Linked DNA regions of Coturnix japonica. The protein of the gene in region 1 interacts with the protein of each later gene in a pairwise test. Links are inferred from orthologs where the notes say so. Each region holds a gene or a part of one and is shown in the gene's direction. Other genes may lie near its edges.

Region 1 (4,255 bases):
TGCTACCTGGACAGATGGAACGATGAGAAGCTGTCAGCCTTCCGAAACAAGAGCTTATTGTACAGGAGGTCTGCTTGGTCCTGCCTTTTAACATTATATGTATTATAGGTTGCTTTCCCAGATAGACTTTTAAAAGTACTTCTTTACAACAAACCACTCAACCATATCTCCTAAGCGCTTTCCACTTTCGCCTCTATTTGTCTTCCCACTAAAGCAATGGATTTTTGGATTGGAAGGAGTTAGATTTTTGCCTTTGGGGTCTCATGTAAGAAACACCATCTGTTAACTCAGCAGAGGTTTATTTATAATTAATGGTAGGACTCAATCCTTTGAAGCTTTGGGTCGTAAAGTAAAAGTTTAGGAGGGCGGGGGCTGAAGCACCTCCCCTATGAGGACAGGCTGAGGGAGTTGGGTTTGTTCAGCCTGGAGAAGAGAAGGTTGCGGGGTGACCTCATTGCAGCCTTTCAGTACCTGAAGGGAACTTACTCCCAGGAGGGGAGTAAACTCTTCGAAAAGGCTGATAATAGCAGGACATGGGGAAATGGTTTTAAGTTAAAAGAGGGAAGATTTAGGTTGGATGTTAGGGGGAAGTTCTTCACTAGGAGAGTGGTTAGGCCCTGGAACAGGCTGCCCAGGGAGGTTGTGGATGCCCCGTCCTTGGAGGTGTTCAAGACCAGGTTGGATGGGGCCCTGGGCAACCTGATCTAGTAAATGTGTATGTTTGGTGGCCCTGCCAGGCAGGGGGGTTGGAACTACATGATCCTTGAGGTCCCTTCCAACCCGGGTCATCCTGTGATTCTGTGTGATTCTGTGATTCTAGAATCATTTTAAATGCTTGTTAATTATCCCACACCATTTATCCTAATTTTAGCCTCCACCCTTTGTTTTCTTTCCACACAGGGAGCTGAGACCCGGCGAAGAAAAGACCTGGAAATAAAGGCTGCTAATGAATGGGGGAAACTTTCTGCTCTGTTCATCACCTGATCTCATGCATTGAAACAATATGGTTATGTTTTTTCTCCTGAGACCCTACCAAGCTACAGAATAGAACACCTACAGTTTGTCACTGCTACTTTAATTCCTATTGTTACTTTATGGAAGGTGATCTATTATAAAGCTGTTTTGATTCTGTGAAGCCCATGGAATTGAGAAATATCTGCCCCCAGAGGTTCCGCTCTGGAGTTGGGGGAGAAAAGACGTCATGTAATAAAGAAAAAAAAAAAAAAACTATGCAAAAATAATTTCCTTTTTTCTTAGTCTGTGTGGTGTGGAATTAATGCGTTTATAGGTGGTTTATGAGCTAACCGAGGCGGTACCTCACACATGGCGCTTTATTAACTCACCGCCACACGGAAGGAAGGACCGCACGTTTCCGGCTGCTCCAGAACTGCGCAAGCGCGTCGTGCTGCCGAGCTGCCCGGACCTCCCGCCGCCAGGGGGCGCTGCTGCGGCACGGCGAGGCGAGCCGCGATTGGCTGCGCGGGTCATGTGAGGCGGAGGCCGTGCCGTTGATAATAAACATGGAGTCGATCTTCCACGAGCGGGTGAGTGAGGTGTTGTGGGGCGGGAGCGGGGCTGCGCTCTGGGGAGGCGGCAGTTGTATCTCCCGGCCTTGCGCTGCTCTGGGGCTGCCCTGTTCCCCTGCCCCATCTCCGGCGGGGCTGCTTCTCGTCTGTGGCCGAGCAGGAAGGCGAGCAGCGGTACGTGGGGCGGGTTCCGTGAGCTCGGACACCAAATCTGCCCGCTGTGGGTGTGCGGCGCTGTGAGGGACGGCATCGAGTGCTGAGCTGAGCTGAGCTTCCTGTTGGGAGAACAAATGCTTCTGGAAACTGCTGTGCTGTGTCAGGGCTCACACGTAGCAGCTGCCTGCGACCTCTGTTGTTACACTACAGTGCCCTTTATCTGCTTTGCCGGTCACTCTGCAGCTTTGCTGATATTTTTGTATTGTTTTGTGGGATCTGTTTAGGTGATACTGGTTTCTGTCCGTTGTTCTTATGCGTAGTAGTTGGTTTAGTTAACAAATAAATAGAGTTAGCTGTACAGTTCAGTGGGTTTTTGTTGTTGCTTTTAATAAGTTATTACATCAGTACAGAAGGGCCCTTTCAAAGAAATTAGAGCCTAAACTTGTAACATGACTCATTTTAACAAAGTTATCCCAGGCTTGATTTGTTCCTAATTATTTCATATGCTTCTGGTGGAAACAATCTGTGACCATTGGCAGGTCTCAGCTGTGTCATGGGGCCAGCAGCAGGAACGTGCTTCCAGCAGGGCAGGAGTTGCTGTTTAGTCTGGAGTTTCTTTTTGTGGGATAAACACAAGCTGGAGAAGCTGTGAAAGATGAGACTTTTGAATTCCATTGTACTTAGGCTGTACAGCCTGTCCAGCTTGAACTCAATATTCAGTTGAGTGGTGGTACCTTCAGAAGGGATTGTAATCTATAAAGTTTCAGGGATCCTGCTGTGAGGGAGACCAAGGGAGATTTGTGCACCTGACTTGTATGATGGAAGAGTGGACATTTAAATAACATTCTTACAAGGCACACTCTTGTATTCTTTACTTTCTGTGGAGTTTTAATTCTTTGACAATTTTGTTTTGTTTCCAACACCTTTGTCCTAATGCACATTCTTAATGTTAATATAAACAAGCATTGATGCAAAGAGGAAAGCTGCTTTTTATAGCTGATGTTAAACTTGTCTTGCACTCGTAGGTTAACTAACTCGCCTGTTATTTTTTAGAGAGGGATTGTTTTTCATGGGAAACTGTAATTCCTCTTTTTGCAAAGTCTCAATGCTCTGTTTTTCTTTAGCCACATGTGGAAAGCAGATATTTCCCAAACCTCATAGGGAACACAAGTTTAACAAAGAAAAAGAGTGTCCCTTGTGGAGAATATTTGTTAATGGGAATTAGAGATTTAAAAAAGAAAAGAATGAGTTTCTTATTTCATACAGTGATGATTTGAAGGGAGCGGAATCGATTCTCCTGATGGTTGCAAAGTACTTGTGTGACTTGGACAAACTGTAGGTGATTTTTACCCTGTTTCCCAAAACATTTTCACTTAGAATTTATTTTCTTCCAGGAAATATGTTTGTTTTCTTTTCCATCGTCAGATTAATGGAACATAGGAATGTATTCTACAGCTCACACTGTAATAAAAATGGAAAAAAATACAGTATTCTGGGAAGTGGGGGCTGGAATGAAATCATTGAATGTTTCTGCAGAGTGCGTCATTAACATCTATATGTTATTGCTTTTGACATAGTGGTGTTTTTTTCCTTTCCTAATATTAGCAAGAAGGCTCATTATGTGCTCAACACTGTCTGAATAATTTGCTACAAGGAGAGTACTTCAGTCCGGTTGAGCTATCCTCCATTGCACAGCAGTTGGATGAGGAAGAAAGAATGAGAATGGCAGAGGGAGGAGTGTCTAGCGAAGAATATAGAACATTTTTACAGGTAAAATCTTAACTTGACGTTGCATGATGTCTTCTTAAAATCTAATATTGTATAGCAAAGGCCTGCTATGCCTGCATAATTACAGAAGATTCATTTTCTAGTGCTGATGTTTTGGAAGTTTGCTGATATTTTCATTCAGGCATTTCAGGTTTGAGGTTTTTAGTGTTATTTGTACAGCTTTATAGTGCTTCTACAGGGGGCCGTGTTACCTTATCTCCTCATCTTAAGGGTAAGATGGTTAGGCATGGCAAGGAGAAGACTAAGAGATTGACTGTTTGTTTTAGTAAGCCAGGGGTAGAGACGGTAACAGAATTCCCTGTACATGTCTGTCCTTTAAGCAGTAAGTATTTGCAGCTTAAAAGTTTGAGTTATTAACAAAAATGCAAATGTTGGTGTTGTAATCAGCATACAGAGTAAAATATATTTCATTGTTGTTTTATGTATGTACAGTCATATTATTATTATTATTATTTTTAAGTGAAATTCTTTCTGAACTTTTATGCTGACACAACTTTTAACTTTCCTTCCTCCAACCTCATATGCTGAGCAGCAGCCTTCTGTAAACATGGATGACAGTGGATTCTTCTCAATTCAAGTAAGATGTGCCCTAGACTGGCAATTTTTTTCTTCTTTATGGAATGTATGTGTTGTCATACAATTTAAATGACATTGACCTATTATCTAGTTTCTGTTTTATAGGCTTAATGACATTAATGGTTAGACTTGAATCTTGAATTACATTAAGAGCAGTGGTGACTTGTGTTTGTTCTTTAGGGTAGTATGGCTTGGTTGCAGTTGGACTT
Region 2 (4,447 bases), on another chromosome or scaffold:
ACAGAGCTAAACTCAACAAAAGGTGGGACTGAGCAGGAAGGGCATGGTATAGGGAGGGGGGGATATCCTGGGTCTGGTCCTGCACATTGTTGTTACCATTTCTTGTGGTCTGAGGGGGCTCCCTGCCAGCCTCTGTGCTGCTCCTTGCAGCCACATTGCACAGGCCTGTGCCAGGGGCTGTCTGTGCCTTGTACCCATGTTAATCTGTCTCCCTGCTCCTTCCTCCCTCCAGGAAGCAGGCAAAAATGCAGGGCCAGTTCAAGGGCCTCATGAAGGGTGCCCAGCGAGGGGCCAAGGCTGGCCGCAAGAACCGGATGAAGGAGCGTCGCCCTTGAGGAGCTGTGGGTGGTGCTCTGTGCATCCACCTGCCTGAGGACAGGACTGGTGATAACCTGAGGCATTCAGGCTCTGGAGGACAGGGACTTTGTGAGTGCAGCCTCCTGAGGAAGCGACCCCTGTGGACTCCTGGCCCAAGCCCTGTCCTCCTGTGCCTAAAGGAAGGCGATGGGGTGACTGCTACAGGTGTGTGTGTGTGTGTGTGAGAATAAACGTGTGACAAACATCTCCTGTTAATATCCAGCCTGGAATCCTCCTTTCTTTCCTGCAAGCACCTCACACAGCGTGTCCCCTGCAGTGCAGCAGGTCCTGGGATGGAGGGGATGGAGTAGGAGCCTTCTGTGGTGCCTGTCCTGTGGCTCTCACTGGCTCTGCATCTGCTTTGCCCATCTCAGTCATGCCTTGCAAGGGCTTTTCTCTTACCTGCGAGAGCTGAGATGGAGCCTTTGCTGTGACCACCTCCCAGAAGCACAAGTAATCCTGGATCTATAGCTGCCCAGGTTGGATGAGCAGCTGTTTCTGCTCTGAGTCCAATGTCCCATGGCTCACAGTACAGAGTATGTGTTTGTGAACGTATCTTCCTTCCTCTTTTGTATTAAAAAGCCTTTAGTCCTTTGTCATTTCATATCACGGTAGCTTACATGCTGGAACTGCAACGCTTTTCAGTCTCCTAATAAGCTAAAGGGATTGTGCTTGTTCAGCCTCTTACTGCAGGCTGCAAATCCACTTTGTGGTTCTCTGCTTCTTTTTCTTTGGTCATTTATTTCCAAGATCCCTTTAAAAGCTCGGGGCTGAGGAGGAGCCGTTGCACTTGGCTGGGGATCTGCCCGTATCCTGCTCTCCCTAAGGGGTCACTGTGTGCCCCTTGAGGCTGTGCCGTGCCCCGGTGCAGCCATAAGGCAGCTGTCAGCCTTGTGTCAGGACAGGCAGCTCCAGCAGCGCTCGGCTCTATACACCGCCAGCAGGAGCCATGTGTGCCCGCTGCCCTTCATCTCCTGCGGTCCGTTCGAACCGACCAATGGTAGCGAGGCCGTAACGCCTCCAGCCAATAGCGACGGGCAGGTCGGGAGGGGCGGGACCGCGGGGTGGCGCGGTGGGCCAATGGGGAGGCGGGGCGGCAGGTATGAGATGGCGGCGGGAGCGCCGGCAGCCGGGGTGCGGCGGGGCGGCAGGTAGGAGCGGGGCGGGGGGCGGTGTGTCACCGGGGGGCGGTGTGTGTGTGTGTGTGTGTGTCCGGGGTCGGTCGGTGTGTCCGGGTCTGAGCGGAGCCGAGCGGCGGCGTGGAGCCCATCCCATCCCATCCCGCAGTGCCGCATTGCGGGCCGCCCTCGGCGTGCTTTGCCGCATCGCTCCGTTTCGGGCGGTGAAGCGGCTGTAATTACAACCAGCTTCTTCGCAAGCGTTTTCCCCCGAGCTGCCGATAGCAAAACGTGCGGTACGCTGCTGTACAGCGGCCCCGCTGCACGGCATAGCAGGACTGAACGCGTTTGCGTTCGGCCGGTAACGCTCGAACCGGGCAGAGCAGCGCAGAGCAGCGCTCCTACCGGGCACGGTGCGGAGGCAGGAGCTGCTGAGCCGGCCCAGCCCTCCCCGCCGGCTCCTCCCCGCAGCCCCGTGCTGCCGTCCCGGTCCCGCTCTGTGCACAGCCCCGCACCAGCCCTGCACGTGAGCTGTGTGTTCTCTCCTCTGTCCTGATTGTTTTCCCCGTCCTTCCTCGCCCTCCTTTTTAACAGCGTCCCCAGAAAAGCTGGCAAGTTTCAGTTCTATCAGTCACGCTGACTGATAGCGCTGCCTCCCCTCTTGGGATTCCTCCTCTTTTTCTGTCCCTCCAGCATTATCTCGCAGCCCTCTGAAGGCAGGGGATTGCCTTTGTTCTGTGTTTGTACGGCACGGAGCACGGCGGAGTCCCCAGCTGTGACTGAGGTTCCCAGTGCCACAGGGATAAAAGTGAATAGAGCAGTAATGAGGAGAGGCAGCTGCTGCCATCTAAAAGGTTCCATTTTGCTGCTGGTTTCTGTGAAATTACGACTGGATCTGAGGCAGCTCCTTTACAGCCGCTTTGTATAAAGGCTTACGTTAAAATAAATACATTTACCAACTTTATGTTGCACTGAAAATCATGAAGGCTGCAGCAGCATTATTTATTTAGGTTGTTAAGGCAGATGGATGAACCTGCAAATCCTTAATGCAGAAGTAGAGGGTTTCTGGCTGTTCCTGTGTGCTTGCAGAGTGTCAGACGGGATCTGGAGCTATCCCATGGCACAGGATCAGCCTGAACAGCAGTGAAGATGTAGGATGGGGCTCATTCAGCAGCTCTGCAGTGAGTCTGTAGCCCCAAGGTGCCTTTCAGTCTGCCTCCCTTAGCACCAGAAGGCGACTGGGTGCTGTGATGTGCTGCAGGCTGATTGAAACGTGGCTGTGTTGACTTTACAGCTTTCCAGTGGATCTTATGAAAAGCTCCATAAAAGGATTCTCTGGGGTCTAAGCTGAAACATTTCACGTTGAAATGCAAAGTTCTCAGTGTTTCATGTATATCATGCTGCCTTGCTGCTGCGGTCTGGCTCGCCACCAGTAATGTTTTCCATATTCAGTTTGTTCCAAGCCCACTTTCCCCCTCTTGCAGCCCTTTATCATCCTGGATAGGTCTGTCTCTGGGTTTACATCACACTTGTGAGGCTCATGTGGCTGAGGTCTGCTCGAGTCTTTTGCTGAGACAGGATCTGAATTCATAGATGATAGCAGGAATTTGGATATCCAGTGTATTCAATGCCCAAAAGATGGCCGAGTGCTGCATTAGTTCCAGGTTGTCCAGCACAGGCTGCTATCACATAATAGCAGCTTTGTTCCTCAGTTCCCTGCTGTTTAAATTGTATATTATTATCTGATTCCCATAGCCAAAAGGCTGAATCACTCCATGTCATCTGTTTAGTTGCGAAGAAAGCAAAGCAACAATTAAAAAAGGCAGTTTTTATTACGGCTCACTAGGATGAAGCCTAGAAACAGTGGTCAAGGCTTGGCACTCACTGTGCTATGCGTTCTGTGCTCATCACAAAAGGACTCTCTTTGCCCTTACAGACCTCATGAGTATAACCCTCGGCAAAAATCGCTGCGTGTTTTTCTTGACATTTTTCAGAGGCAAATCAGTCACCCTATAGGGAGTTACTGTGCTAAATCTGAGGGCTGAATGTGATCTTTGTGACGCCGCCTTACAAGAATGTTGGTCCCAAGTACAGTCCTCAAAACAACCTTAAAAGTGAAGTCACTTCTCGTGTCTCTGCAGCCCATTCCCACCAGAGTTCTTTTAATTTTATTTATCTATTTTTAATGGAGGAAATAATTTGTCTCCTAGTCCTTTTGTACTTAAAATGATTTCACATCATTCCGCTCTGGTCCTTTCATCTCTTAGCGAAACGTGGGATGGCTCCTATCTGGCTCTGGAATACTGCCTTCAGACGCCCTCATTAATTGATTCCTTGCTCTGGCACAGCACAGGGACGATGCTCCTTCTCTCTCCCCAAGGAAACGTGAGCCCGGGTGCATCCATTCCATCTCCCTTTGTGCTTAGCCAGGCACAGAATCCCCGTGTTTTGTGTTCCCCAGCAGTGTCTGCTTATCGCTCTGCGCTCAGTGCTCGCTGCTTGCCTGGCTGTTCCTCAGTCGAAAGATTTTGTTATTATATGGGGAGATTTTCTTCCATTATCTGCCTTATTTTCAAAAGCTCTTTAATCCTTTTTCTCCTGCCTGGTAAGACTCGCCTGCTGCAGTGTGACTGAGGCATTAGCTTTGCTGCAACAACATCCCAAGTGCACAAAGTGATGCTGGGCTGCATTCTGCCCGCTGGATGAGATGCAGCTCCAGCTCTTCCACTTTCCCAGCTAGAAAAACACAGCTCGTTTCTTGCCCCAGAGGTGCCTCATCCTTCTTTCTCCTTATGCTCTATTTAATGCTGCTGGAATCTGCTTCTGCCTTCTCATGTACGGACTTGCAGCTCTTACAGCTACTTGAATTGTTCTGAAGCAGGCAGGTCTCACCCATCTGAACACGACTTGCTTCCACGTGCGCTGATTTCCTGCTCGCGCCCCAGGTGCAGTCACCAGGTTGTGCTGGTTAA

What was found. The genes of interacting proteins can lie anywhere in the genome.
Region 2: the proteins of ATXN3 (region 1) and ARHGAP19 interact in binary tests that used the Homo sapiens proteins (3 or more experiments, as listed by UniProt). The link is inferred for Coturnix japonica from reciprocal best matches to the Homo sapiens genes ATXN3 and ARHGAP19.

The regions. Positions count from the first base shown.
Region 1 is NC_029520.1:40,426,425-40,430,679, reverse strand, and holds the start of ATXN3 (ataxin-3), read left to right. Parts: upstream 1-1,432; 5' UTR 1,433-1,520; coding exon 1,521-1,544; intron 1,545-1,679; exon of another isoform or gene 1,680-1,700; intron 1,701-3,287; coding exon 3,288-3,452; intron 3,453-4,002; coding exon 4,003-4,047; intron 4,048-4,255. Other genes in the region: NDUFB1 (NADH dehydrogenase [ubiquinone] 1 beta subcomplex subunit 1), read left to right, coding at 1-68, 901-937. UniProt on the Homo sapiens protein: Deubiquitinating enzyme involved in protein homeostasis maintenance, transcription, cytoskeleton regulation, myogenesis and degradation of misfolded chaperone substrates.
Region 2 is NC_029521.1:19,516,693-19,521,139, forward strand, and holds the start of ARHGAP19 (rho GTPase-activating protein 19), read left to right. Parts: upstream 1-1,418; 5' UTR 1,419-1,437; coding exon 1,438-1,508; intron 1,509-4,447. Other genes in the region: RRP12 (RRP12-like protein), read left to right, coding at 1-22, 233-335. UniProt on the Homo sapiens protein: GTPase activator for the Rho-type GTPases by converting them to an inactive GDP-bound state.